Tamandua tetradactyla: one gene and its partner. The protein of the gene in region 1 interacts with the protein of each later gene in a biochemical or structural test. Links are inferred from orthologs where the notes say so. Each region holds a gene or a part of one and is shown on either strand. Other genes may lie near its edges.

Region 1 (16,627 bases):
AAGGAAAGTCATTATTTCTCTATTAGTTTGATTTTGAATTTCTGCATGCTTTGCTATAACATACCTAGTTGAAGCTGTTTCTTATTTATTACAATTTTGATATAGTTTTCTTGAAATCCAAACGTTTCAGCTATTCTGTAAAATAAAACCATTGAAAACTATAGGAAAACAAACATAGTAATTATTATCCAATGAATAGATTTTAATCATAACTAAACATTTTACACAAAACACCTAGTAATCATACTTTCTGACCCACAAACATCACTTCATCATAAAGTCAGCCAGAGAGTTATCAAAACTCCATGAGACAATGTCATTTTTAAACCATCTGTTTTACTACTTTTTTCCTTATGAAGTGGAAGATCACGATGCTTAATATATATCTGAACAGAAGGGCCTTATCTGTCCGCCAAGAGAAAATCCATTCCCCAGACCTTCTAAAATCCCTTGGAGGAGCCAACAACAGAGGAGTTGTTCTATATAAATCATCTCTTCACATGTGTTAAATAAATGGTATTTCCTGAATCCATCCCTAACAGTCCTGGTGTAGACCAAAGAAGAAAATGAGAAAAATAAGTTTAAGAAACACTGACTAATTAGCCCAGGAGATAAAATACCTACCACTTAAGGATACACACGTACAAGAAATAACCGACAAGATCTCAAAATTAGGATTTCACTAGTTAGTGACAGGCTAAATCACTTTGCTGAAGGTCACAGCAAGTTATTAAGAAATATAATTCAAAACTAATGAGCTCGCAAACACCTGGCTGTCTCTTTTATATATGACTCATTCTTCATTCAAATTTGTATCAAGGACCTATTATGTGATGAGCATTGAGCTCAGATCTGATCTAAAGTTATACCAAGAAGTAAAAAAGAGTGTTATGAGTCTGGAGTTCCCACTGTGCCACTTAACTACCATTGTAAGCCTTTACAGGTCATTCAATCTCTAATTCTCAATTTTTTTCTTCCATAAAATGGAGATAATAATACCCAGCCCTATCTATCTCATAGGATCATCACAGAAGACCAAAGGAGTGAATGTAAAAATGGCCAAGACCACCCTGGACACCAGAGCACACAGATACTTACTTAGACCTCAGTTCCCTGCCAGTGATGTGCAATCGGGTCTCCAACAAGTTTTTCCTATCCTGCTTAAAACATTAAAAAATTAACTGTACTTGAATTAGGTATTTTTTGAGTTATTACACCGTGTCTACAAGATCAGAAGGTTAATATCAAAGGATGCAAATACTTAGGTCACTGATTGTGGACGAAAACAATGCATGCATAGAGGAAGAGGCCTCTTGAACCTAAGTAGGAACTGGGGACCTGAAAGTCCTCAAGGGGGCAGTAGTTTGGTAGCATCAAAAAACAAAATAAAACAAACCACTTGGTGCTAGGCAGGGCTTCAGTCTGGTGAAAAGGTACTTCCTTAAGGGATGTGTCACATGGCCTTCTTTATTCAAGTTTTAACCAAGGGAGATGGTCTAAGCTCTACAAGGACCTAACCACCTTCAACATTAGGGGCCACCTCTATGAGCAAGAGACATTTCCTCCTCACTGTATACTCTGTGGCCATGACAGTAATGATAGACATGCTTTTTGAACGTCTTCATTCTCCGCTGGCTGAGCATAAAATGAAAACATAGAATCATTAGGAACACTTGAGGCCATCCAAATCTTCTGCTCAGATTCCATACTCACCAATCAGCTTTCTAACTAGTAGTTTGTTTCCCAGATACTTGATACTAACAATGAGACTAGTTCTGTATAAGTATAAGCCCTTTAAATCAATAAACAGGTTTTCTGAGAGACACTGCATACTTTTATTTTTCTCATAAAGGCCTTTATTTTTCCTAGACATTTTTAACAGCTGTATTGATATAGTATAATAAAAAACTTGGCTGGTCTTTTCCCCAGTTCCTGGAGAAGCAAACTGAATCTTTGGAATTTCCTGTGAAAGGACTGCCTTCTATTCTTCATGGAGAACCTAGGACCACATCTGATAGTTGCAGGGTGGGGCCAGCAGCCTGAGAGTAGGGTTTAGCCCTACCAGAAAGATCAACCAGGTACTTGGGGGGTGGCGCTTTGAGCCATGTCACATCAGCCCAGCTCCCCAACATCTGGGAGATTATATTTAATTAATCTGATTGCCTTCAACCAGGTGGAGATTGAGTCTATTAGTCACAATTACATAATGAGGCCACTTGAAGTCCCAGTGACCTTCCATGATTGAAATAATACATCTCTGTGCTGGGAGGGTGATGTGCTCTGACGCCTCGATGAGTGGACACGTTTGAGAGCCTCCCAGACCTCGACCAATACGTCTCTTCCTTTGGCTTCCTTTTATATTCTTTTACTATAATAAAACCATAATCCTAAGTATAGCACTTTCAGTGAGTTCAGTGAGTCATTCCAGCTAATTATCAAGCCTGAGCAGGTGCTGGGAACTCCCTCAATCTGTGGCCAGTTGGTCCAAAGTGTGGGTGGCCCCTAAACCTGTGACGGGTGCCTGAAGGACGATCTTATAGGAGATTTCCCTTAACTTGCGGAATGGGCCTAATGGTAGTGAGAGTCAGAATTGTACTGGACTGAGTTACTGCAGTATTTGCAGTTGGTGTCAGAACCTGCTAGGAACACTTGAGGCCATCCAAATCTTGATAGATGTTAGCTGAGGAAGCTAACTAAAGTTTCTGATACCCTTACAACTGAGATATAATTTACATACCATAAAATTCATCTGTTTAAAGTCTAAGGTTTCTAGAATATTTACAGAGTTGTGGGACCATCATCATAATCCAATTTCAGAACATTTTCATTATCCTCTCCCCTGGCAAAAATCATACCCCATACTTTTCCCAATCTTCCCACCTCTTATTTCATCCTTACCTTCCCCATCCACCCAGCTCTACTCAACCAGGAATCTGCTTCCTGTCTCTAAGAAGTTGCCTATTCTGGACATTTCACATAAAAGGAATGTGTCTGGTTTCTTTCACTTAGCATAACGTTTCTGAGATTCATCTGTGTTGTAGTATGTATCAGAAGTTTCTTTTTACTACCAAATAACATTCCATTCATGGATATACAACATTTTGTTTATTCATTCACCATCCTTTTGTTTTTATATACATAAATGTTCATTCATAAACAGGATATATCATATTTGCATGTGATTTTATGTAAATGGGATCTGGGAAAACAAACTACCAGCTAGAAAATTAAAATTAAGTTGTAAGTCAATAAACGTTCAACATGCAAAATAACTTAAAGAAGTGTAAGTCTGGATTATAGTTTTTTAAAAATCACAACTTAACTTTTCACTAAGTTAAACATTAGGACTTATGTTACTCACTTTTCTTACTCTTGGTGGTAAAAATACCTCAATTGTAGCAATTCCTGTTGTTTTATAATTTTCATTTCCTGTTCCACGTTCAATTGCTTTGCAACGTATTTCTTCTATTATTTTTTCAATCTCACTTTCACACCATTCTAGCTTGTCAGAGTATTTCTTAGCAAGGTCCTATCAAGAAAAATCAGAAAACACAGATCAATATTGTACCAACTTGGAAAAAAATATATAAAAGACAGAATGGCACATGTAGGACTCAAGGCAATAAACTCTGCTGAGTTGCGGTCATGTTTATTAGAGTAAAATCCAGTTTGCAGCTTGTCATCTTGTGAGGCACAGAGAATTCAAATTCAGGGGGTGGGGGGGGAAGCTAGAGAAACAGGCCCAATAGAAAAAGTGAAATAATTGGGATTACTATAGGTGAATAAGAAGGGTAAGCTGTGATTTATTGACTGGAATATGTAAAAAAATTATTCAAGGAATAGTGAACTATTTATCTCTACTGCAGGAAAACAAAAAGAGAAAAATGGAGAAAGCATTTTAATTGTAGTTATAACAAACCAGGTAAGGTTTAAACAATTTTTTTAACAGAAAATTCTGAATCACTGGTACTGGTAATAAAATTATTTGTAAGGAGGGCTTTAGAATTGGTAAAGAGAACTTAAAAGACTAAAGGGGCCTCAGAGAAAGATCTGAACCAGTTATTATATGAAGTGAAGTCACTATGTTTCCTCTCCAAGAATATCTGCTTTTAAGGTTTAAAAGCTCATTAAGATCTGAGAGGCTTCACTCCTCATAAAACATTAAACACTCTAAAGAACCCTAAAGCCTAAGGTTTTATAAAATTTATAATGCAGTACTATGCAGTGCTTAAAAATGATGGAGCAAAAAAAAAAAATGGAGTTTATGATGGGGGAGATATTGATGGTCTACATAATTAAAGCAGAATGCTGAGTATTTTATTTTTAAGATACTATATACCTACTTGTAATACTTAGATATTTCAACATTTATATAAAAAAACACTGAAAGAATATAGCACTATTAATGATATATATATTTTAAATGTATTCCTTATTTTTTGAATTTAATTATACACATTTTTAATGTATTATTTTTAACATCAGAAAACTAAGTTTTTTTGAAATAACACTTTTAAAAAAACTAATTACTTTCCAAGCCAAGAAATTATAATAAACAAATTCAGAAACAAGGTCATAAGGTAGGTTGCAAAAAATAAAAGTGAGATTTGCCAGGGGCAGAGGACAAGAAAGACAGAAAACTCTTAGCACCCTGACACAGTTTCGGCCACTTCTCAACTACATCACTGCAAAATGACAGAGAACAATTTCATGCCCTCATGATAATCTCTTGTCCCCAATAAATGCTACATCATATTCAGGATACTCAGACTGAAAAAACTAAGAAATCATGACAGGATTTTACAAATTAATAGATTTCTATAAAAAATGATTGGTTTTTGGATTAGGTAAGCAGGCAAACTTCAGTTTCTAGAAATTTCATTTTTGATGATGCCATAAAAAACTGAGGCATAACCATTAAAAAACATATATTTTGGAAAAATGAACACTGATAGCCACAGAGTAAAGAATTGGGAAAGTGGAGCAATGATTTTATATAAGACCATGATAAGCAAGAGGACTGAGAAACAACCAAAACAATGGCGCTCTAAAAACATAAAACAATAACTTAACTAGCACTAGTACTGCTGAGCTGTTAGGTCAAAATTACTTCCTAGATAAATCATTTTATGTAATTTTGTGACGGTATTAAAAACAGCGTATGCCTGAAAAATTAGAGAACATTCTTAAATGAATAAAATCTTATTTAACATAAATAAGTCTGTCAAATCCTAGCAAAAAAGTGGGTACCTGCTTTATCACTGATGCTTCTGGTTATGCCAAAACTTTATTTGGTTGTGCCTGGCAATTTCTGGTAACTTCAGAAATTTGTTTACTAGAAAGATCTATAACACTGCTGATTACTTGTCTTAAAAGAAAAATACCTTCAATGCCAAACCAACTTCTTTATTTTCATCTGTATATGGGGGTTTCCAAAGTTGAATTCTGTCTTCCCTTAAAAACTGGGTCAATTTTGCTTGAAGGTATTTCTTTTGTGCCATCCTGGAAAGCAAAATTGTATAAGATTAAAACCCCACAGCACATTTTGAAATGCTTTATAACTTACTTAATACACTGAGGTATTCTGTAAAATAAACTCCCTCCTACCCTCTCTCTCATATTTATCTAAATTACTAACGCTTTAACTAGCTCTAAAGGTTTTAAAAAAATTATGTATATAGTAAATCCAAAATTGCCAATATATAGCAAGACTTGTTATACTTTTTTATTTCTTAATACATTATTACCTGATCTGAGAAAAAAAGAACTAAAAGATGAATCCCTAAAGTAGCAAAACATTTCAAACTTAAGTTCTAAAGATTGTATTGTGCAATAACTTGAGAGTAACTTTTATAAATAAAAAGCATTGAGCTCATAAATTCTTTTGTATTTTGGCTAAATTTAATTAAAATAAAAGATTGACCACCCTGGTAAATAAATATAAAGAAAAGCCAGCTTGAACCATGAAGTATCAATAATAAATAATATCTATACCTGAATTTATAGAATTAAAAAGTTTTACAATTCTAGAAAAGTTTTGCATGACATTTTGTGAAAACAGTATTATAGCATCTTTACAAATACTAAATTAAATTATAACACTAGTTGAAGCATCGTTTTACTACATTTAATTCATTACTATATTCAATTCTAACTCTAGTTGGAGCTTAGAAAACTGAGGTCCCAGGTTTGTAAAACGACTCAGTCACAGCCACAAAAATTAGGCTGGAACTTCTGCCTACAATAATGGACTCTGCATTTTATAATGCAATCGTAGGTGCTTTTCTGTTCTCTGTATGTAACTACTCTTTCCCAAAGAACCACATGCCATCAGCAGACCTGTCTACATATAGCACTTAACTTACGATCAGAGCAATCAGTGTTGTGGGTGTGACTGATGACAAATAGTTGATAAAGTATAGTGCAAATAGTAGAAAGGTAAAAAGTTAATAGCTCCTGAATGGTGGAAACGAGATCTAGAGAGGAATAAAAAAATCTATATATCTATTATCTATCCATCTATCTATTTATATATATATATAAGGGGAAAAGAGACATAGGATGTATCAGGTTTTCTTTTCTCCCTCTTTTTTTTTGGAGTAATTAAAATGTAATATAATTGATTGCGGTGATGAATGAATAATTATGTGATGATATTGTGAGCCACTGACTGCAGACTCTGGATGGACTATATGGTATGTGAGCATATCTAAAAAAATTTGCATTTAAAGTATATATAGTTAGTATTAGGGCAGGTCAGGGTGGCTCAGCAGGCAGACTTCTCACCCGCCATGCCAGAGAGCCGGGTTGGATTCCTGGTGCCTGCCCATGCAAAAAAAAAAATAGGGAGCACAGGTGGTTCAGTGGTAGAATGCTCACCTTTCATGTGGGAGACCGAGGGTGGATTCCCAGACCATGTACGCAAAAAAAATTTATATATATCTATGTTAGTATAACCTAGACAAGGACTTGTTTTCTATTTAAGGCACTATTTCACACACACATATGTACTCTCAAAATCCAGTTCACCTGACCTTTAAATCAAGTTTGGTAACTTAAGTGTTTTCAATAAATAAACATATTTAAAAGAATAGTCCAGTCTGTTATACTAGTTTGGGACAAGATAAGGGAATAAAAGGGAGGAAGGAACTAACAGGGAGAGTGCTGCCTGCACTGGGGCGCTGCCCATGAAAGAATCCTACTTTCAAGTACTAACTGCTTCTCACGCTGAAAAACTTCATAGTACTTATGAGCAGTACCTTTTCGAAGGCAAATAACTCACATGACCACTACACACGGTTATGTTCCTTACTCATATCTCTTCAGAATTTCTGAATAAAATACCAGGGCAACCCACTGCCGGAATAACTTCATGGGCTACTGGAGCCAAGCTATCTGGAAGGCTGAATGCACGGCCCTCAGAGGACCCACCCAAGCCACCGCCTGCCAAAAGTGTTTCACAAACCTAGTCTGTGTCCAACACATCACGCAGCAAATGAACAGCTTAAGATTTCATTTTTTCCCACTGTCTTTAAACACAAGACTTCAGTGACAGATAACAGACTAAGCACTGCTACAGATTTTAAGTACACTGAAAAAGAAAAAAGCTTAATAATCAGTTTTCTATTTTAATGGATAATTGAGAAAGCTAGTTTCCTGCCTGTCATCCAAAACAACCAAAAAATGCTGAAATCCATTAACATCACTGTTACAAATTGAAAGTGAAATGGTAGAAACCACAACTTTAAAAGTTTCACTTTCACTTTTGTAAGTTAATGGATCGACGCCACCTTGACCCAAAGCTTTTCAACTGTATCTACCCAAAACCCCTTAAGTTTTCTTAGAAAGAGCAATAAAAGACTCTTCTATTAAAAGATTAAGAGTAAAGGAAAGAGATGAGAAATACAGAATCATATGGTCAAGGTTCAGGAAAATCAACCGTATTTACTCATTAAACAGCAAACAAACAAACAAAAAACCTCTGGCTTTCACTGCAAATAAATCCGAAAGGCTTATTTGAAATAACAGTGTTATGAGTCAAGCTTTTGGTCTGGCTAATTAGTTATACATATATATATATTTATTTATGTTTTCCAAAAAAACAATACTCCAAAATTCCTTTTTTAAGACTCCCCTCCCCACCGCCCCAGCCCAAGGCAACCTTAGCAAACCAAAAGACATCCGATAGCCTGCGCGTCCCGAAGCGCCCCGCCCGGCCGCCGCCCCGGGGTCGGACCGGGCCTCACGCAAGAGCCGCTCTCCAGCCTCAGCTCCCGGCCAACCCCAACCGGGTCGGGGAGGGGCGTCCGAGTCGCGCCAGAGCCACTCCGGGTGCCGGCGGGCGTCCGGAAAATGCCGCCGCGGCGGCTACAATTAAGCCGCCGGGTGAGTCCGTCGCCTCCTCACCTCCGCCACCGCCGCTCCTACCCGCGACCAGCCGAGTGCCCGGATGCGGTGGCGGCCGCTGTTTGTTTTCATTCCGGGTGAAACCGGCCTCCGCCTCCGCAGTCTCACAGCCCTCGCGCCCACGAGGAGGCGGGGTGGGGGCGGGGTTGCGGGTCTGGGGCCGGTCGGGAAGGCGGGGTGGGGCGGGGGCGGGGCCACGAACGCGGGACGGGGGCGGAGCTGCCCGGGCGGGCTCGCCCGGAAAGCCGGAAAGAACAGGGCCCCTGGGAAGGGTGGGGTGGGGCGGGGCGGGGGCGGGGCCGGGGAAGGGGTGGGGTGGGGGAGGGTGGGGCCGGGGCGGGGCCAGGGCGATGCTCTAGGCCCAGGTGTCTGGGACCTTTTATCTGCGCCCCGCCCCCTGGTCTAGGCCGAACCAAACCGGATGTCCCACCCACCCCCACGCCTCTTGTTTCCCACCCTACCCTTGATAATCACACCTTGATAATCCCACCCGGAGCGTGCGCTCGTGGTGAAATTGAACAGGTTCACCCTACCTGCTCGACCTCTTTCGCTAGAGCTTTTTGCCCCCAATTACCATATCCATTACCGTTATCAACCGAGAAGGCAACTTTCAAAGTGGAGTGCGCTGAGCCCGCCACTTTGAAATAAACGTAAGATAAGGTCCATACCCTTATGTCTAGTGGAGGACAAAGACAACTGTAGACACACACACAAAAAAGCAATTTGTGAAATGTTGTGAGGAGAAAGCAGATCCCAGATGGTTGAGTACGAGCTTGAAAGATGGTCAGGCTTTTGGTAGGCGAGGGAGAAGGATAAGATAGAGTACATCTTGGACCCCCGAAAGTTTGCTTCATCCTTCTAAATCCGGAAGCCAATTGTCAAAAGACAAATCGGAGTCCAGTTGCAGTTAATTCAGGACACCAAGATTGCTCCACCAAGGAAACCAATCTCAAAAATGAAAGCAGCTTGGAGGTTGGGGAATTTGCAAGCAGTTTTATAAACAAAAAGAAAGAATTTGACTAGGTTCTGTTGATTGGAGCAGGGACCTGTTAGTCTTGTAGGGGTGGGTTAAGTGTAGCGGAGCTGTATTAGTCAGGGTTCTCTATAGAACCAACAGGAGATACCTGTAAATAAAAGATTTATGAAAGTGTCTCATGCAACGGTGGGAATGTAAGAGTCACAAATCCGTAGAGTGGGCTGTGAGGCTGGCAAATCCCATGAAGGGTCTCGTGGAGTTCCACAGGAGAGGCTTGGGAGCTGAAGAAACAGTGAAAATTCTTTTCTTCTCCCTTAAAAGTCTTCAACAAATCAAATCAAATCCAACTGATTGTATTATCTCTTTGGGCGTGGGGTAGGGGGAGTGGGGGGGAGTGCCCTTAGTTGATCTTAGATGTAGTCGGCCACAGATACAATCAACTGACTGATGATTCAATAAACACCTTGTGGTTTATCAACCAGCCACAAAAGATCCTTGCAGTAGCAGTTAGGCCAGTGCTTGCCTGATGAGACAACTGGCCATCATCACCTGGCTAAAGTGACACCAAAACCATCACGGGGGCTTTATTTTATTTATTTAACTTAAAAAAAATTTTTTATTAGCTCTGCAAAAGTAAAGCTTCCAAAAATTTTGTACAATATGTATGACTATGATATGTGATTTGTCAATATGGGGGCTTTATTTTTAATTGAGCTACATATGCTCAACCAGAGGCTCAACTGGCTTTTGGGGGTCCAGAGTCTTGGTAGGGACTTCTGAAGAGGATGTTTATCATATAATTCAATGCGAGTTCAGAGAATTGAACTTTTGTGTTGGTTCTGAGAAAAAATAGGAAATTTTTTTTTGTTTTTTTTGTCACCATCCTTGGACCTGTTCCAGAATCATTGTCACAGTGTGGTGCTTGAAAGCATGGATCCTTCAGTAAGGCACCATGACTCCAGCGAGTATGAGAGGTGATCTGGAGCGGATTACTTAACCCTTTCTCTGTCTCAGTTTCCCCACTTGTAAAATGGGGATAATGACAGCACTGCCTTTGGTTGTGGTGGGAATTCCGTGAAATAATGTATGTAAAGCACCCAGTGATTGTTGCTTGTGGTTGCTGCTGTTAGTATTGACTTTCCATCCACCCTCTCCCAAGAAATGTTCCGAGGCTAGCTTCAATTATGCTAATGAACTTCTCCTTTTTTGTGACTAGTTGTAGGATCCTGGATAATGATTGCTCAATTAGTGAGGGCCAATTCTAGGAATATCAGCCCGATGATGAAATGCAGAATCAAGTGGAACAATGAGATACCAGATACAGAGAGTTCAATAAAGGGGGTGTTCTAGTTTGCAAGCTGCTGGAATGTGATATACCTAAATCGGCATAGGGGAATTTATTAAGTTGCAACTTTACAGGCTCTAAAGCCTTGAAAATGTCCAAATTAAAACAAGGCTATAGAAATGTCCAATCTAAGGCATCTAGGGAAAGATATTTTGGTTCAAGAAGGCCAATGACATTCAGGGTTTCTCTCTCAACTGGAAAGGCACATGGCAGACATGGCGATATCTGCTAGCTTTCTCTCCAGGCTTCTTGTTTCATGAAGCTCCCCTGGGGTCGTTTTCCTTTTCATCTCCAAAGGTCTTTGGCTGTGTGGGGTCTATAGCTTTTTGCAAAATGGTTCCCTCTTAAAGGCTCCAGTAAGCAACACCACCTTGAATGGGTGGAGACACATCTCCATAGAAACCATCTAATCAAAAGTTACCACCCACAATTGGGTGGATTACATCTCTATGGATAATCAAAAAGCTCCCAACTAGCAATGTTGAATGAGGATTAAAGAACTTGGCTTTTGTGGGGTACAAAGATTCAAACTGGTACAGAGGATATCAGGATAATCCAGGCATGAAATGATGACATGGATCTGACTGTAGACAGAGAGGAAATAAAAGGAGGAGGGAAGGAGTGCAAAACAGAGAGAACTCTGCAGCGGAAAAATAGGAGTTGAGGACTGATTGCATGTGAAGGATGAAGAGGAGAGTTAATTCAATGAAATGTAACAAGTAATGTTAATGGAGGATTTGAACAAGGTGCCTTCATAGACGTTTGAACTGCTTTCTGAAAGATGTGTTAATTAATGTATGTTCAGTGTAGTTTGGGTTATTAAATGTAATATGTTAATTTCTTTGAAAATTGCTGAGCCTTGTGCACTGGACAGGGGATGCATTCCAGGGGAAATAGCTTGAGATGATCCTTCAAGCAGACCTAATACTATTTCCAAAATGGGTTGTACAAATGCAAGAGGTGTGCAAAATATTACTCATTAACCAGAAAGTTTGCTGTGTTAAAGATGTGTGCCTGGGTGGAAGATGTCATCAAGAGATGGAGTCTATCTCTCCACCCCCTGAATCTGTTTTCGCCTTGTGATTTGCTTTGACCAGTGGGGCAATAGCAAATGTGATGGAAGCAGAGGCTTGAGAGTGCTTGGGCTTTGGGGCTTGCTCTCTCTTGCTGGAGACCACCATGTGAATAGGTCTGAGCTCACCTTCAAGAGAGTGAGAGGCCATATGGAAGAGAACCAAGGAACCCCCAGCTAACAGCCTGCTCACTGCCAGATATGTGAGTGAAGCCGTCCTAGATCCAGCTGACCACAGACACATTGGAAAGTCCCCCAGAGATCACCTGGGCCAACCCAGACAGAAGAATCACCCTGATTCTATGAATCATGAGCTTGATAGAAGTTTTATTTTAAACCGCTATGTTTTGGGATAGTTTGCTCTGCAACAAAAGCTAACTGACAACAGCATTCATGATCAAGTAACACTGCAGTCAGGCCTTATTCATTGGACAAGAACAGTTATCCTAAGAAAGCAAAAACTCAAAATATGATTAAAAAAATATCAAGGGCAAAAGCCATTTGCTTCTTTGTGACTGTAGTAAAATTTGATTTTTTTCCTGAACGTACTACGAAGTCTACATTTTTCAATGCATTGATCTTTTTAATAAATGATTTACATTTTTTCTTTATAGTTCATGTTGGCATGCATTCTCACTTCTTAAAACAGCTTTATTGAGGTATAATTCACATACCATGCAGTTCACTAATTTAAATTGTATAGTTCAATGTTTTTTAGTCTATTCACAGAATTGTGCACCCATCAGCACAATCAATTTTATAACATATTAATCATCTCCAGGATGAACCCTGTATCCATTAGTAACCACTCCCCAAATCCCTCAAACACCTCAGCCCTAGGCAACCACTAGTCTACTAGTTCGGTTTGCTAAAGCTGCCAGAATGCGATATACCAGCAATGGGTTGGTTTTTACAATGGGGATTTATTAACTTAAAATTTCAATTCTAAGGCCATGAAAATGTCCCAATTAAGGCATCAACAATATGATACCTGGACTTTGAAGACAGACTGTTGGCATCCCAGACACCTTTGTCACATGGGAAGTCACATGGTGATGTCTGCTGGTGGTTCTCTCCTGGGTTTTGTTGTTTTCAGCTTCTGGTTCCAGTGGCCACCTCTGTGAGGTTCTAGGGGTACTTGTTTGCTTCTCCAGGGCTTTTTTCTCTGAGTTCGCTCAGCTTTTTCTGTCTTTTATCCTCTCATAAAGGACTCCAAAAAGGATTAAGACCAACCTTGAATGGGTTGGGTCACATCTCAATTGAAACAACCTAATCAAAAGGTCCCACCCACAATAGATCTCACACCCACAGGAATGGATTAAAAGAACGTGGCGTATTCTGGAGTACTAATAGCTTCAAACCAGCACATCTACTTTCTGTCTCTATAGAGCTACCTATTCTGAACATTTCATATAAATGGAGGCATACAATATGTGGCCATTTGTGTGTAGCCTCTTTCATTTAGCATAATGTTTTTGAGGTTTGTACAGGTTGTAGCATGTGCCAGTACTTAATTTCCTTTTTAATGCTGAATAACATCCCATTGTATGGGTATACATTTTGTTTATCCATTCATCAGTTGGTGGGCATTTGAGTTGTTTCCACATTTTAGCTATTTAAATAATTTTACTTTGAAAATTCATGTACAAGTATTTTTGTGGACATACATTTTCATTTCTCTTGGGTATATTCCTAGGAGTGGAATTGCTGAGTCATATGGTAATTCTATGTTTGACATTTGGAAGCAAGTGCACCATTTTACATCCTTACCAACAAGGTGTGAAGGTTTCAGTATCTCCCCATCTTCAACAACACTGGTCTGTCTTTTTTATTATAATCATCACAGTGGATATAAAGAAGTAACATGTGGTTGTGATTTGCATTTATTTAATGAATAATGATGTTGGGCATGTGTTTGGTTTGCTAATGCTGCCAGAATGCAATATACCATAAATGGGTTGGCTTTTACAAAGGGAATCCTTACACCACAAATCTACAGTTCCAAGGCCATACAAATTGTCCAAACTAAGGCATCCAGAGAATGATACCTCAACTCAAGAAAGGCCAATGGATCTGTTCCTTGCCTGTATTCTCTACCTTGGTTAACAGCACAGCTGTGTGTCTTGTCTCCCCAGCTTGAAACCTTGGTGTCAATCTTGACTCTTCTTTATAGTCCCCTGTCCAATTCCTCTCACTTTTACTTCCAAAATGGCTTGAGAATAAGTGCTGACTTTCCCAATCCAGGGCCATGGCTTTAATTCAGGACCTTACTACCTGGCATGCAAACCACTACTGCCTGCAACAACCCGCTAACCAGTGTCCTCTCCAGTTCAAACACCACAATTTCATCAAAGTGCTCTTCATAGAGAAGCTGTTTTAGAATGCCCAGTTCCCCAAGGCCCCTCCCAGTTTGATTCCTGCCTTACCATTTAGCCTCACCATTATGTGGCGCTTGACGACACCTCTTTGTTATAGCCATGTCCTTTCCCATGTCAGCCTAAAAACATTGTGGGAGCCAAAGATTCACAGTTCTCCCCATTACCCACAACGCCACTTTCCTCTCCATGAGAACAGGTTGTGAACACACACACACACACACCTTGTACACACATTGTTCTTTTTATATAAGTGGAATTTTTATATAGTTCCGTCTCTTTTTTTTTAATTAAATTATAGTACATTTTGGATCTCTGAATGTCACTTCATATAGATATGGTCTTTCTCGTTCTTTCTAATGAAATAAATATTATAACATTTAAATATTTCTATACTGACTTTCAGTCTATTTCCATGTATTAGGTATAACAAACAATGCTACAAAAAATCATACCAGTATATATATCATTGCAACTACAAGTATTTCTATAAATCGTTTTTTTTTTTTTTTTTTATGTGGGCAGGCATCAGGAACCAAACCTGGGTCTCTGACATGGCAGGCAGGCGAGAGCTCTGCCACTGAGCCACTGTTGCCCACCCACAACAAGTATTTCTATAAGATAGAGTCCCAGAAATGGAAAAGCTATTGCCAAACTGCTTCCCAAAAAGTTGTACCAATTTACAAGCCCATCAATAGTGTACAAAAGAGCCTATATCCCTGCAACCTCATCAAAATAGGATAATTGAAAAAAATTTCAAACTTTTTTCCAACAAAAATCTATCATAATTTTGCCAATCTCATGGGCGAGAAAATGGCATTCCATTATTTCAAATTCCCCTTGCCATATTATTAATGAAGCAGACCATGTCTCCTGTATTATTTTGGCCATTTGCATTTATCTTCCTTTTATTCATATTTGCTTGTTTTACTATTGGGTTCTTTGTTCAATAATTTGTAGAAATTCACTATATATTACAAATATTTTCATCATGACATTGTTACAAATATTTTTTCCAGGTTGGTTTGCTTGGTCTTTTACCTTTATTTACATGTTCCACCACATGGTAGTTTTACATATAAGGTAGTCAAGACCACCAATAGTCTCTGTAATTGTTCCTGCTTTTTTGTATTTTGCTTAGAAAGGACTTTGCCAGGTCAATATTATGATCTATACTTTTTATTAGAAGGTTTATAGTTTTTATGTTTATAACTTTAATCTCTGTGTGAAATTTTTTATTGTCCAAGGGGAGCTTTTTATTCATGTAAAGACTATTTTAAATGAATATTCAATTTATCAGAGTTGAAAAATTTTAAATATAGGTTTTCTTAAGCCTGTTAAGTTCAACTTACAAATTTTGATGTTCTATTTATAAATCTGGACATTTTTGTATAAAACTAAAATAAATTTCTTACAATTGTTTCTTGAGTAAAGTTTAGAAACTTAAGTTGAACAAATGAAATTCCTTTAATGTGTGCTAGTTATAAACTTAGTTCATTACATTCCCTCAAACATTTTAAATTGAAGTGTGTTTTACTGTCTCTTGAAAAAGAAGAACAATGGAGCAAAATAGAAAGTCCAGAAAGGGGTTCTAATATAAACAGTTCATCCAGTATATGATAAGGAAGGATGGCATCTCAAATAAATGGGAAAACATCAGTCTATTCAATATATAGTATAGAGATTGCTGAATAACCATCTAGAAACAAAATAAAGTTTGATCCATACCTAACACGGTATACCAGGATGAATTCCAAGTGGATCAAAGATTATAACATAAAAAAAAGAAAAAGAAACCATATAAGTTTTAGAAGAAAAGGGAGAGAAGAAAGACTTTTTTTTTATGAACACACAATACCTAGAAGCCAAAAAACAAAACAAAACAAAAAGCTAAATTTTACTACTTAAAAATCTGTATTTAAAATTCATAAGTAGGGCAGTGCGACGGTGGCTCAGCAGGCAGAATTCTTGCCTGCCATGCCAGAGACCAGGGTTCGATTCCCGGTGTCCCATGCAAAAAAAAATAAAAAATAAAAAAATAAAAAAAAATTCATAAGCAAAGGCTAAAGACAAATGGCGAAATGGGAGGAAAATATTATCAATTTACATCAAAGTCAAATCTCTTTAACACATAAAGAGTCCCTACAAATCAATAAGAAAAAAAGGTAATAGAAAAATGGATAAAGGCTATAAAAAATATAGTTCACTGTAAAATAAATATAAATGGTTCATAAACATACGAAAAATTGTTTAACCTCTTTCATAATGAGATAAACATAAATTAAAACTATACCAAGCCATCTTGAAAAGAAGAACAAAGTGAAAGGACTCATACGTTCCCTTTTTAAAATTTATTACAAAACCACTATAATTGGGTGCATGGGTAATTCAATGGCAGAATGCTTGCCTTTCATGTAGGAGGTTGGGGTTCCATTCCTGGACGATGCACCCAA
Region 2 (15,503 bases), on another chromosome or scaffold:
CAGCACTTCTGTTGAATCTTGATCCTTCAAAGCCCTTTGAAGGTGCCTGCTTCTGCTCTAAGGTACCCCTTCCAGCAATCAACATAGTCATGTAACTGGATCTTTCATTAATCCTTTCCACCACCATTTTGAACTCAGAAAAACCTGAACAGGATCAGGAGACCAACTTACCATCTGGAAGCTGAAGATCTAAATATCAGTGCCAGAGAGTAAGACATGAAGGTTAGTTTGTCATTACATTGCCACAGGGAAAAATGGTCTTGTGGTGAGGAGGACATTCTAGAATCCCAAATGACATTCTGAGACACATTGTAGAAAATTTTGTATGGCTGATTTACCTTCTGTACCAGGGTGAATGATGGGGTATATATATATATGTGTGTATGCATGTATCTCAGCTATGTATTTGATGATTTGTTCATACAAGTAATAGGAGCAATTTCTGGGCAGTTTTATTAATGTGTGCCTGTTTTCGTCTTAGAAAGCGTCTGATGTGTTTGGAGGGAAATGGTTTAGGGATTACAGGTCTGGTCTGGTATGTGATAGGCGATCACAGCATTAGAGAATTTTACTTTTCTGAATTCAACACTCCAGCCACCATTGGATAATAGGACTGATTGATACCTCTTGTACTTTATCTTTCTCAAATATGACCACAGACTGTCAAATTTTCTAGAAATAAAGGTCAAGCTTTGCAGGTTCTATTATCCTCCATGGTCCCAAACATAACAGACACGGATGTGTTAAAAAAAAAAAATGCAAGGAACTCAGAGTCAAACAGATTTGGGTTCAAATCCTGTAAGTATATACAAGCCAGATGACCTTGGGCAACTTTGTTAACCTGGGTAAAAATCAGGGTTAATAAATACAAGGAATATACATTTTCATACCAGCTCTGTCATTAATAGCGCAGGATCCTTCTAAAATCCTGTTTCCTCATTTGTAAAATAGGGATGGTAATAGTTAGCATTTTAATAGAGTACCTACTATGTGTTCTCAAGCACTGTTCTAGGAACTTTTTACCTGTTTAACCCACTTAGTTCACTTCATTTGACAAATGAGAAAATTGAGGCACAGAGAGGTTAAGTAACATGTCTATGGTTGCCTCAGCTAGGACATGGCATCTATGTGACTCTAACTCAGATAGTCCAGCTCCAGAAACTTGTTCTTAATCATATTAATACATGTGCACATGAAAAAAATGGAGTCAGAGGACAATGAAGTAACTTTGCCATATCAAATAAGTGCCAAATAGCAGTTATGCTACCTAGAACTCAGGTCTCATGACTTCCTCTAACAGCTGACTATGGATTTAAGGCTGAAATGCATGTGCTGATCTGTGCTCATCAAAATCACCACTCAAGACTTAGGGCAGGAGGGACATGGTCATGGAAGCAGTCTCTATACATTACAGATTAAGCATCAGTAGGCAGAAGTGTGATGGGTTGCATTAATAAAGGCAGAGCATCGGAAATATGGAAGGTGATAGTTCTCATCTACCCAGTGTTGGTTTGACCAACCCTGTGGTATTATACTTATTTTTAGGCACCACACATTTTCAAAGAAGGGATAGAGGGTCTCAGTTGCCAGGATTTCCCTAGGGAACAGGGGAGAAGAAGGGGCGCTACAAAGGATTAAGAAAGGACAGACACAAGAAGTTAGTTAAGTGGGGTCAGGGGACTCAAGCTCATCAGGAGTAACATTACCAAATAAACTGACATTCATCTATTTATTGTGCTCTTCCATGGGAACTGCTTTAGGGAGTATAACAGAGCAAGATTATTTTTAATATCTGTCATGCCTGCAAAGTTACAAAGTTTGGTTCACAATTCCTGTCCCAGGAACCATTTATTACTCATAGGAATGTTTTCTATACACCTCTCTTTGGGCTCCAGAGTCATTGTCCTTGAGAGCAGAGTGAGCATTGACTAACCTGCCTGAAACTGCAGAGGCAGAACTTTCTCACAGTAAGGCTGGATTAGTTAAGGTGCATACAGGCTGGACCTCATTTCACAGGGCACCAAGCCGTGTCTCCAAGGTTATTCTGATATGGCTTTGCCAACAGTCAGAGGGCTACTTCTGGGCCCCAACACAGAGTGACATCTGCTTTCAACAACATGAAGAGTTGTCATGCGGGAGGGATTTCTTCCTTGGCCCCTGGGAATACAACCAGATTTGGAAAGCAGGCAGGCCTGAGTATGTCCCACGGATCCACAGGCTAGTTACTGTCTTAAGACAACTTCCCGTTATGGGCCTCAGTTTACCCCTCTGTAAAACAGAGGTTCTGTCTTCCACATAGGATCTTGTAAATACATAAAGGAACGTATACCAAATACTTGGCTTCCTTCCAAAACTAAGAATTCAGGTCTGTAAATGAGATTACAAAAACATGGTATATGAATCAGTCCCTTTCCCTGCCCCACACCTACATCACGGGTTCTCATTTGCCTGGAGAGATAGTATCACCCTTTTAGATCTGGTCCTTTCAAACATTCTGGGAGTTTTCCTCCTTTAGGCCAACCTGAGCACAGAGCAGCGCTTCCTCCTGCTGGGTTTCTCCGACTGGCCCTCCCTGCAGCCAGGCCTCTTCGCCCTTGTCCTCTGCTACCTGATGACCCTGGCGGGGAACTCGGCGGTGCGCGACCCGCGGCTGCACACGCCCATGTACTACTTCCTGTGCCACCTGGCCCTGGTGGACGCCGGCTTCACCGCAAGCGTGGTGCCGCCGTTGTTGGCTAACTTGCAGGGCTGGGCGCGCCGGCTGACTCCCGCAAGCTGCATGACCCAGCTGTGTGCGTCGCTGGCGCTGGGCTCATCTGAGAGCGTCCTCCTGGCTGTAATGGCGCTGGACCGCGCGGCCGCTGTGTGCCGCCCGCTGGGCTACGCCGGGCTCGCCTCGCCCGGCCTCTGCCACGCGCTAGCCGGCATCTCCTGGCTGGGTGGCATAGCCAACTCCGCAGCCCAAACAGCGTCCCTGGCTACGCGGCCGCTGTGCGGGCCCCTCCAGCTGGACCACTTCTGTGAGCTGCCCGCGCTGCCCAAGCTGGCCTGCGGCGGCGACGAAAAATCCACTGAGCGCCAGATCTTCGTCGCCCGCGTGGTCATTCTACTGCTGCCGTCCGCGGTCATCCTGGCCTCCTACGGCGCCGTGGCCCGCGCTGTGTGGGGCATGAGGAGCCGCGGAGGCCGGAGGAAAGCAATGGGCACGTGTGGGGCCCACCTGACCGCCGTCTGCCTGTTCTGTGGCTCGGCCATCTACACCTACCTGCAACCCACGCACAGCTACAATCAAGGGCAAGGCAAGTTCGTCTCGCTCTTCTACACCATGGTCACGCCCGCCCTCAACCCGCTCATCTACACTCTAAGGAATAAGGAGGTGAAGGGGGCAGCAAGGAGGTTCCTGGGGAGCCTGGAGAAAAGGCAGGCTGGACAGTGAATGGGGAAGGGAAGGAGGAAACTGTCAGCCCAGGACCCAGGAATAGAAATGCTGTTGGAGAGTCAGTCAGTTTCGCTTCAAGCTGTTCATTTCTGATAGAAAATCTGCAAGATTTGTCCTCAGGGAACCCAACGTTAATGGGGGAGATTAACCCTTCCCATTTTCAGGTAGTGTTCAGATTCATGAGGGAAAATCTAAATATCTTCTCTACATAGAAGTTTGGGGAGGAGGAAATGGCCTTCGAACTTTTCTCCCAAGCTGATAAGGGAGGAGATATGATTTCGGGAGATCTCCTTATCCTCAGGAGACAAGTAACAATCCCTGCAGACTCCATGTGTGCATGAGATGATGTGTGACTTGAAGCTTACCGTTATTAGCTTTCTCCCAGTTTCTGCTATCAGGGGTTCTCAGTTTGATAAGGAACTCATAAACCTTACCCTGCATGAAACTCCATCCAGAAAAAAGGAGCCATGGTGCCTCTTCTTGGGGAAACCATCCAAACGGGGACATAATACCCACCTGGCCAGGTGACCAGTGCCCACGACAGGGCACCTGACCCAGAAGAGTAATGAGGAACACTCCTAAGTGTGATGAGTTCTCCTGGGTGTGGTTAAGTTGGGAAACCCACCTATAGGAAGTGGTTCTGAGCAATTTTTAAAGAACAGAAGGGACTAGAACTCATGAAGAATAAGGTAGGCATGTCTCAGGTTGTGAGAAAAGATGAAAGTGACAATCAGCAAGACCTGAGAGTCAGGCTGTGAGGCAGAAGAGTAAATGGAGGGAGTAAGATGGAGGACGTAACTCAAGTTTCCAAGAGAGGAGCAGGACCTGGTGGTGAAGGAAGTAGAAAGGAAAAGGCCCCTTCAGCAGAACTTGGCAGAGTTCTGGGGCCAGGCCAGAGGTCAACCCTTTACCCCCTCATCCAGACTGATACCTGACCTAAAGAAGACCTGCCACACCGTAAGACAAACAGGACAGAGACTGTCCACATTCCTCCACCTTTCAGAAAGTCCATTCCCTCCTGAAACACATCTGACCCCAAGAAGTCCCCACAAGAGGCACAGACTCTCTAGCTCCCCATGGAAATGAGCTGCCATGCCCACTGTCATCTACAGAAATAAGAACAATTCTAACTGTTATGGGACATGCAGGGTAGGCAAGGCATTTCTGTGCCAGGTTTCACTTTATATCAAACAGCCTTAAATAGAGAGAAAGAAAGTTTAATTTAACTTCTAATTTATCTATGAATTAGATTGTGATCTAGTCAGAGTTCAGTTAATAATTCATTTCACTGTTCTCCATGGAAATTCAGTTTAGTTCAGCAACTATTGAGTGATATTTTACATGAAGCACTGAGTCAAACATAAATGGAAAACATAGAAATTAGAAAAGCAGGGATCCCAATTTAAAACTTAATGTCTTGTCAGATAAGAAAGGAAATAGGAGTTTCTCTATGAATCAAAGGGAACCATGAAATAACTAAATTACAAACTGGATTTGAATGTTGTCTCTCATGAGCCTCGGCAGTTCATTTCTATCTTCATTAACACCTTATACACTATCCTGCCTTATAATTATGTTAAAATCAAAGAATAATAAAGGTGAAAAGGTATTCTGCAGTCTTCCTTCCCACCCCACCCAAATCTTAAATTCTATATTTATCTATTTATTCCTCTTGGCAAACTAATAAAGGACATGATTGGTGAGTAAAAGCTAAAAGGAAATAGTCACTTTTTTTCCTGAGATCACTCCAATACAAGGGCAATCATCCCTTAATTGAAGGAAATGCCAGGAAGAGTAAATTCCCCTTTCTAACGTCATAATCTGCCATGGTCTTCCTATCTTCTGGTCTCTTTCCATTGCAAGTCACAGTCTGGGTCTCGGGCCTGACATGGTCTATGTCAATCATCTCTTTCACCTGAGCCACTGAACTGGACCTCCACACCTGGAGAAGTTGCCTCTGCCCCTCATCACCTGACTCCACCAGAAATATGGGAACTTCCTCATCACTGGACTTCACTACCTTCAGGGAGAGGTGGATGGTCTTCTCCTTGTCGATTCCATAAGATGAAAGCCTTCTTGGGGGCTTTAGGGTCTTCGGACCCAAAAACAGGACGTGGTCCTGCACAGGAACCTTGGTCCTAGAACTGATATGTTCACTGATTATCTTCACTGAGTCATTTATGTTGGCAGTGAAGGTCATTAATTCCCATTCCATGGAATGAATGTTCACCTTGGCAATGAGAACCTAGAGGTGGCTTCCTAGATTATCTGCCACACGTTCAACCCTACCTTCATTGCACCTCCCCTTCTACTGCCTGCTAAGCACTCCTGCTCTTTCCCACCAATCAGTGACCCTTCTTTTCTTGGCACTTCTCTTTTGGTACTGCCTCCAGACCCAGGTATAAGCCAAACAAGAGAAGGCTCATTTCTTCATAACCACACCCTATATTTATCCCAAAATATCATTAATGATTTCCCACTTTATTTTCCTGACTCCTATTGAGGTAAAATGTGGCAAATGTCAAAAAATAAATCCAACTAGAAAGCTTAAAAAAAAATGCACACCAGACTCTAAAAACAACTCCCAAAAAGTTTTCAAGATTTGACAGCCTCCTTGGATACTCATGGAGATGTTCTGCAACTACTTTGGAAGGAAACTGGTTAGGACACAATCGCTTTGCTGTTACTATCTGATTTAACATTTAATTACTTTATAATGATGTCACATATTTCTGTGACATTATATTCAATGTTACATGCCAGTTTTTTTTTTCTTGTTTTTGTATCTACCTATCATAGAACGTGATCTATATAATCAGACCAGAGCCTCACGGAAGATGGAGACTATATCCGAGTATTACTTCAATAACTGGAAAATTCTGAAAGATGGGCAGCTCATTCCTGTTTTATCGCCCAAAAGCCTGGGAGGAGCTCCTTCATAGCCCATTCAAAAAAATTTCCCCAGCTTACACGACACAGACTGTGTTAGTATTCCTCCACTGGAGTGTCTCTACTCTGTGTTGAGTGATGCCCACATTCCAGGTTGTCTTCATAATGCATATGTTCTTATTGAAGGTAATATATTGGGTCATTAAAAACATGAGAAAAATGAAGATTTCCTTTGGGAGGAGAGGGAAGCTTAAACTTAAGAACCCTGAATACTTAATCAGGATAGGAGAAAAGGACATAAGAAAAAAATTCCATAATTTGCCAGCCCTGTTGAACACAAAGTCTAGTCCACTTCCTACCATTTATCCCTAACAGTTCAAGATCTGACACAAAACAGAAATCAGGAGCCAAATGTATGACTTCTCTCCACAACAACCTTCTGCCCACTCTGAAAATAATTCCTTTCTGCTCACCTTCAAGCTGCCTTCTGGGCTATCCTACTCCCTGAGCACCATCCCTATTCAGTTCCTTAAATCTGTGCCCCCCTGAGCAATTAAAGGTGCTTTTCCTTTCCCCACCCTTCTCAGGTCCCAACTTACACAGACGCAGGGAGCATTGGGAGCCATCTCTGCAGTCAAGGCAGTAGAAATACGAAGATGAGAAAAAGACAGCTATATACAGGTAATCGAGGTGGAAATCCCCTGCCTGGACTGTTGTGTTTATCTTTAGGCAGCTTTACTGTACCCTTTGTTTTTGATACAGTCTCAGAAATTTTCTCTCACTTTTGCTGGGGTGGGGTCAATAAAACAGAATACTTTCTTGATCAGACATTTTTCCCCTCACCAATCCATTTACACACTTCATTCGAAGCACAGTATGGTCCTCCTTTGTTCAGAGTTTCCTTCTGTTAACACCCCACCTCCACCCTCCTAGTCCTGATTTATGATTGTGTAACTCTCAGCTCTGAGCTTCACTGGCATGAAGACCTAATCTGCTAGGTGACCCTCCTCTGCTGCTTTTATGAATCCTCCATCAGTCAGGGGCTGTCCTGAGAGCTAGGGCACCTAAAAGAGGACAGTCAGGGATGGTGTTTTGAGTGGCCTGTTCACAGCGGCAGAATGTGTGGAACTTGTCTTGAGAGGACATATAATAAATAACCCTAGACTGAGAAGAGACATGAGTTTGAGTCCCAGATGTGTCACTTGCTATATTACCTTGAGCAGGTCTGTTTACCTCCTTGGATGTTGGTTTCCTTGTCTAAAAAGGAAATGAGAGAATTAGAGAGGATTCCTAAGTGTCTTCCAGGCTTAGGAAAATATTTATAAAATGTCTTCACAGAGAATTTTACATTTCTGAGTTTTGAACTCACAAGCACACTACCTACCCTGTTCCAGAGCCTGCAACCCAAATCTATTACTTCATAACAACCCAAGACCAACAATGGAATGCTGACTCCCATCTCCCGCACACCAACACATTCACACAGCCACTCTCATACCATGGTGCATCCAATGCTCTCCCTTTCCCTAGGACTCTCCCTACTACCGTGATCTCAGAAAACACCTAAAGATGCTGTTCACTCCCTTGCTCTTGAGAATTAAACTGAGACAAAAAGGGAGTGCTTGAGCTGTGTACCCACAAGGGATTTGTTGGATCACTCTAACCCTCTTAACATTTCAAATTAACCACTGGCGTCTTCCAAACCATCCCTCCATTGCAGTTTTTTTTAAATAAATATATAATTTATTAAAAGTGCTTTGATATTTTTTTCTCAGGGTAAAATGCCTATAAGAATGTCAAGTTGGGGGGCCAAGATGGCAGCTTAGCAATGTGCACATTTTAGTTCATTCTCCAGAACAACTACTAAATAACCAGAAACAGTACATAACAGCTCCCGGAGCCACGATAGTAGCTGGACACACAGCGTACCCCAGTCTAGACCAGCTGGACCGGCTGCGAGTCTCTGGAACCGTGAGTTCCCCAAGCCGTGGCAGCCGGCGTGTGGCACCCCTCCCCCACAGGTGGCTTCCCAGAGGGAAAGGAAAGACATTTTAACAGTAGCAGGGACTGAGTCCAACCAAACACCAATTGTGGCATTAATAAACAAATTCTGACTACGTAAAATAGGCCCCTAGCTCAGGCGAAACTGGTCAAGGCAGAGGTTGCTTATTGGGCTAACCAAAAAAGAGGAAAGGGGGTGAAATGGAGGCTTTTGTGGCTGTTTCTATGGAGGCTTGGCTGCCTCTGGATTCAGCGGCAGGACTACACAGGTTACAACTGCCCCAGGCATATGCAGAAATGGATGGCTTCAGGGCTATCTCCAGGCTGAGCCTTCCCCAGGGGAGGGGTGAAGCCCAACTCAGGTGGAATCCCTCTCTCAAGGAATTCAGAACCCAGGGCTTGGCAATTTGAAGCCATTAAAACCAGCCTAAAACCTCTTCTCTGTCTCCACCACGCCCCCAGCAGGGAGAGCCTTCCAAAGTTAAAGGAGCCACAATATCTTTTGTGGTGGGACCTGCAGATAGACAACCACCACATACTGGGCAGGATAAGAAAAACAGAGCCCAGAGACTTCACAGGAAAGTCTTTCAACCTGCTGGGACTCACCCTCAGGGTAAGCTTATGCAGGTGACTCCCTCCCCCTGATAGGAGGCCAGTTTAGTCGGGGAAAACCTGGCTGGAGTTTGTAATACCTATGTAGACCCTCCTAAGGGTGGGGAGGGAAAAGGCACCTTACAAGCAGGACAAGAAACAAGAAAACAAGAACTGAAAAATTACCCTCTGTTAAACAAAACTTAAGCTACAGGCCCAGAAAAAGCTGAACTGAAGGTCAAATAACAGGTAGACAACAAACTCATCTAGCAAGAAAACCCTAGGTAAGATAAGTGAAAGCAATCACCAGAATAAACTAATTAAGGTAATTAAATGTCTAGACACCAGCAAAAAATAACAAATCACACAAGGAAAATTGAAGATAAGGCCCAGTCAAAGGAACAAACCATTAGTTCAAATGAGATACAGGAGCTGAAACAGCTAATTCAGAATATACGAACACAAATGGAAAACCTCATCAAAAACCAAATCAGGGCGGGCCGCGGTGGCTCAGCGGGCAAGAGTGCTTGCCTGCCGTGCCGGAGGACCCCGGTTCGATTCCCGGCCCCAGCCCATGTAAAAAACAAACAAACAAACAAAATATAATAAAACAAGAAAATGTTTAAAATGTTTCCCTTTCTTCCTCCCTTCCTTCCTTCTCTGTCTTTCCTTCCTTTCCTCCCTCTCTCTAAAAAAAAAAAAAAAAAAAAAAAAAAAAAAAAAAAAAAAAACCAAATCAATGAATTGAGGAAGGACATGAAGAAGGCAAGGAAGGAACAAAAAGAAGAATGGAAAGCCTGAAAAAACAAATCACAGAACTTATGGGAATGAAGGATACAGTAGAAGAGATGAAAAAAACAATGGAAACCTACAATGGTAGATTTCAAGAGACAGAGGTTAGGATTAGTGACCTGGAGGACAGAACATCTGAAATCCAAAAAGAAACAGTAACTACAGGGAAAAGAATGGAAAAACATGAGCAGGTACTTAAGGAATTGAATGATAATATGAAGCGCACAAATATACGTGTTGTGAGTGTCCCAGAAGGAGAAGAGAATGGAAAAGGAGTAGAAAAACTAATGGAAGAAATTATCACTGAAAATTTCCCAATTCTTATGAAAGACCTAAAATTACAGATCCAAGAAGTGCAACACACCCCAAAGAGAATAGATCCAAATAGATGTTCTCCAAGACACTTACTAGTCAGAATGTCAGAGGTCAAAGAGAAAGAGAGGATCTTGAAAGTAGCAAGAGAAAAGCCATCCATCACATACAAGGGAAACCCAATAAGACTGTGTAGATTTCTCAGCAGAAACCATGGAGGCGAGAAGACAGTGGGATGATATATTTAAACTACTAAAAGAGAAAAACTGCCAACCAAGAATTCTATACCCAGCAAAATTGTCCTTCAAAAATGAGGGAGAAATTAAAACATTTTCAGACAAAAAGTCACTGAGAGAATTTGTGACCAAGAGACCAACTCTGCAAGAAATACTGAAGGGAGCACTAGAGACAGATAAGAAAAGACAGAAGAGAGAGGTGTGCAGAAGAGTGTAGAAAGAAGGGAAATTTAGATATGACATGTAAAATACAAAAGGGAAAAAGGTAGAGGAAAGTACCACCCAAACACTAATAGCACTAGATGTTAATGGACTGAACTCCCCAATCAAAAGAAATAGACTGGCAGAATGGATTAAAAAACAGGATCCTCCTATATGCTGTCTACAGGAAACGCATCTTAGACCCAAAGATAAACATAGGTTGAAAGTGAAAGGTTGGGAAAAGATATTTCATGCAAATATCAACCAGAAAAGAGCAAGAGTAGCTATACTAATATCCAACAAATTAGACTTCAAATGTAAAACACTTAGAAGAGACAAAGAAGGATACTATCTACTAATAAAAGGAACAATTCAACAAGAAGACATAACAATCATAAATATCTATGCACCAAAGCAGAATGCCCCAAAATACATGAGGCAAACACTGCAAATACTGAAAAGGAAAATAGACACATCTACCATAATAGTTGGAGACTTCAATTCCCCACTCTCATCAATGGACAGAACATCTAGAGAGAGGATCAATAAAGAAACAGAGAATTTGAATATTACAATAAATGAGCTAGACCTAACAGACATTTATAGGACATTACACCCCACAACAGCAGGATACACCTGTTTCTCAAGTGCTCATGGATCATTCTCAAAGATAGACCATATGTTGGGTCACAAAGCAAGTCTCAACAAATTTAAAAAGATTGAAATCATACACAACACTTTCTCAGATCATAAAGGAATGAAGTTGGAAATCAATAATAGGCAGAGTGCCAGAAAATTCACAAATACATGGAGGCTCAAAAACACACTCTTAAACAACTGGTGGGTCAAGGAAGAAATTACAAGAGAAATTAGTAAATATCTCGAGGCGAAGGAAAATGAAAACACAACATATGAAAACCTATGGGACGCAGCAAAGGCAGTGCTGAGACGGAAATTTATTGCCCTAAATGCCTATATCAGAAAAGAAGAAAAGGCAAAAATTCGGGAATTAACTGTCCACTTGGAAGAACTGGAGAAAGAACAACAAACTAACCCCAAAGCAAGCAAAAGGAAAGAAATAACAAAGATTAGAGCAGAAATAAATGAAATTGAAAACATGAAAACAATAGAGAAAATCAATAAGACCAGAAGTTGGTTCTATGAGAAAATCAAAAAGATTGATGGGCCTTTAGCAAGATTGACAAAAAGAAGAAGAGTGAGGACACAAATAAATAAGATCAGAAATGGAAGAGGAGACATAACCACTGAACTCACAGAAATAAAGGAGGTAATAACAGGATACTATGAACAACTTTATGCTAATAAATACAACAATGTAGATGAAATGGACAACTTCCTAGAAAGGCATGAACAACCAACTTTGACTCAAGAAGAAATAGATGACCTCAACAAAACAATCACAAGTAAAGAAATTGAATCAGTCATTAAAAAGCTTCCCAAAAAGAAATGTCCAGGACTAGATGGCTTTACATGTGAATTCTACCAAACATTCCAGAAAGAATTAGTACCAGTCCTGCTCAAACGCTTCAAAGAAATTGAAGTGGAGGGAAAGCTACCTAATTAATTCTATGAAGCCAACATCACCCTCATACCAAAACCAGGCAAAGATATTACAAAAAAAGAAAACTAGAGACCAATCTCTCTAATGAATATAGATGCAAAAATCCTCAATAAAATTCTAGCAAATCGAATCCAACAACACATTAAAAGAATTATACATCATGACCAAGTAGGATTCATCCCAGGTATGCAAGGATGGTTCAACATAAGAAAATTAATTAATGTAATACACCATATCAACAGATCAAAGCAGAAAAATCACATGATCATCTCAATTGATGCAGAGAAGGCATTTGACAAGATTCAACATCCTTTCCTGTTGAAAACATTTCAAAGGATAGGAATACAAGGGAACTTCCTTAAAATCATAAAGGGAGTATATGAAAAACCCACAGCTAATATCATCCTCAATGGGGGAAAATTGAAAACTTTCCCCCTAAGATCAGGAACAAGACAAGGATGTTCACTATCACCACTGCTATTCAACATCGTGTTGGAAGTTCTAGCCAGAGCAATTAGTCAAGAAAAAGAAATACAAGGCATCAAAATTGGAAAGGAAGAAGTAAAACTATCACTGTTTGCAGACGATATGATACTACACGTCGAAAACCCGGAAAAATCCACAGCAAAACTACTAGAGCTAATAAACGAGTACAGCAAAGTAGCAGGTTACAAGATCAACATTCAAAAATCTGTAGTGTTTCTATACACTAGTAATGAACAAGCGGAGGGGGAAATCAAGAAACGAATTTCATTTACAATTGCAACTAAAAGAATAAAATACTTAGGAATAAATTTAACTAAAGAGACAAAAGACCTATACAAAGAAAACTACAAGAAACTGTCAAAAGAAATCACAGAAGACCTAAATAGATGGAAGGGCATACCATGTTCATGGATTGGAAGACTAAATATAGTTAAGATGTCAATCCTACCTAAATTGATTTACAGATTCAATGCAATACCAATCAAAATCCCAATAACTTATTTTTCAGAAGTAGAAAAACCAATAAGCAAATTTATCTGGAAGGGCAAGGTGCTCCGAATTGCTAAAAGTATCTTGAGGAAAAAAAACAAAGCTGGAGGTCTCATGCTGCCTGACTGTAAGGCATATTATGAAGCCACAGTGGTCAAAGCAGCATGGTACTGGCATAAAGATAGATATATTGACCAATGGAATCTAATAGAGTGCTCAGATATAGACCCTCTCATCAATGGACATTTGATCTTTGATAAGGCAGTCAAGCCAACTCACCTGGGACAGAACAGTCTCTTCAATAAATGGTGCTTAGAGAACTGGATATCTATATGCAAAAGAATGAATGAGGACCCGTATCTCACACCCTATACAAAAGTTAACTCAAAAAATGGATCAAAGATCTGAACATTAGGTCTAAGACCATAAAACAGTTAGAGGAAAATGTAGGGAGATATCTTATGGATCTTACAACTGGAGGCGGTTTTATGGACCTTACACCTAAAGCAAGAGCACTGAAGAAAGAAAGAAAGAAATGGGAGCTCCTCAAAATTAAACACTTTTGTGCATCAAAGAAATTCATCAAGAAAGTAAAAAGACAGCCTACACAATGGGAGACAATATTTGGAAACGACATATCAGATAAAGGTCTAGTATCCAGAATTTATAAAGAGATTGTTCAACTCAACAACAAAAAGACAGCCAATCCAATTACAAAATGGGAAAAAGACTTGAACAGACACTTCTCAGAAGAGGAAATACAAATGGCCAAAAGGCACATGAAGAGATGCTCAATGTCCCTGGCCGTTAGAGAAATGCAAATCAAAACCACAATGAGATATCATCTCACACCCACCAGAATGGCCATTATCAACAAAACAGAAAATGACAAGTGCTGGAGAGGATGTGAAGAAAGAGGCACACTTATTCACTGTTGGTGGGAATGTCAAATGGTGCAACCACTATGGAAGGCAGTTTAGCGGTTCCTCAAAAATCTGAATATAGAATTGCCATATGACCCAGCAATACCAAAGCTATGTATCTACTCAGAGGACTTAAGGGCAAAGACACAAACTGACATTTGCACACCAATGTTTATAGCAGCATTATTTACAATTGCAAGGAGATGGAAACAGCCAAAGTGTCCATCAACAGACAAGTGGCTAAACAAACTGTGGTATATACATACCATGGAATATTATGCAGCTGTAAGACAGAATAAACTTACGAAGTATGTAACAACATGGATGGACCTTGAGAACATTATGCTGAGTGAGAATAATCAAAAACTAAAGGACAAATACTGTATGGTCTCACTGATATGAACTGACATTAGTGAATAAACTTGGAATATGTCGTTGGTAACAGAGATCATCAGGAGATAGAAATAGGGTAAGACGGTGGGTAATTGGAGCTGAAGGGATACAGACTGTGCAACAGGACTGGATACAAAAACTCAGAAATGGACAGCACAATACTACCTAACTGTAATGTAATTATGTTAAAACACTGAATAAAGCTGCATGTGAGAATGATAGAGGGAGGAGGGTTGAGAATATCTGGCTGGGGTCTATAATATCTAAGTAGACCCTCCTAAGTGTGTGTGTTGGAGGGGGGGGAGGCACCCCACAAGCAGGGCAAGAAACAAGAAATTAAGAACTGAAAAATTCTTCTCTGTTAAACAAAACTTAAGCTAAAGGTCCAGATAAAGCTGAACGGAATGTCAAAGAACAGATAGACAACAAATTCATCCAGCAAGAAAACCCTAGATAAAAGAAATGAAAGCAATCTCCAGAATAAACTAATTAAGATACTTAAATGTCTAGATGCCAGTAAAAAATAACAAATCACACTAGGAAAATTGAAGCTATGACCCAGTCAAAGGAACAAACCAACAATTCAAATGACATACAGGAATTGAAACAATTAATTCAGAATGTACGAACAGACATGAAAAACCTCATCAAAAACCAAATCAATGAATTGAGGGAGGATATAAAGAAGGCAAGGAAAGAACAAAAAGAAGAAACTGAAAGTCTGAAAAAACAAATCACAGAACTTATGGGAATGAAAGACACAGTAGAAGAGATGAAAAAAACAATGGAAACCTACGATGGTAGATTTTGAGAGACAGAACATAGGATTTCAAAACTGGAGGACGGAACATCTGAAATCCGACAAGAAACAGAAACTATAGGGAAAAAATGGAAAAATATGAGCAGGGACTCAGGGAATTGAAAGACAATATGAAGCACACGAATATACGTGTTGTGGGTGTCCCAGAAGGAGAAGAGAAGGGAAAAGGAGGAGAAAAACTAATGGAGGAAATTATCACTGAAAATTTCCCAACTCTTATGAAAGACTTAAAATTACAGATCCAAGAAGTGCAGCATACCCCAAAGAGAATAGATCCAAATAGACATACTCCAAGACATTTAATAATCAGAATGTCAGAGGTCAAAGAGAAAGAGAAGATCTTGAAAGC

The links.
Region 2: the proteins of NUB1 (region 1) and ubiquitin D-like form a complex in vitro, tested with the Homo sapiens proteins (6 studies listed by BioGRID, with this or other methods). The link is inferred for Tamandua tetradactyla from reciprocal best matches to the Homo sapiens genes NUB1 and UBD.

Annotation. Positions count from the first base shown.
Region 1 is NC_135327.1:195,340,523-195,357,149, reverse strand, and holds the start of NUB1 (NEDD8 ultimate buster 1), read right to left. Parts: upstream 8,270-16,627; 5' UTR 8,182-8,269; coding exon 8,162-8,181; intron 5,503-8,161; coding exon 5,385-5,502; intron 3,530-5,384; coding exon 3,362-3,529; intron 1,158-3,361; coding exon 1,099-1,157; intron 136-1,098; coding exon 65-135; intron 1-64. UniProt on the Homo sapiens protein: Specific down-regulator of the NEDD8 conjugation system. Recruits NEDD8, UBD, and their conjugates to the proteasome for degradation. Isoform 1 promotes the degradation of NEDD8 more efficiently than isoform 2.
Region 2 is NC_135331.1:84,198,991-84,214,493, forward strand, and holds ubiquitin D-like, read right to left. Parts: upstream 6,955-15,503; coding exon 6,928-6,954; intron 5,670-6,927; coding exon 5,202-5,669; downstream 1-5,201. Other genes in the region: putative olfactory receptor 2I1, read left to right, coding at 217-222, 482-535, 2,516-3,436. UniProt on the Homo sapiens protein: Ubiquitin-like protein modifier which can be covalently attached to target proteins and subsequently leads to their degradation by the 26S proteasome, in a NUB1-dependent manner.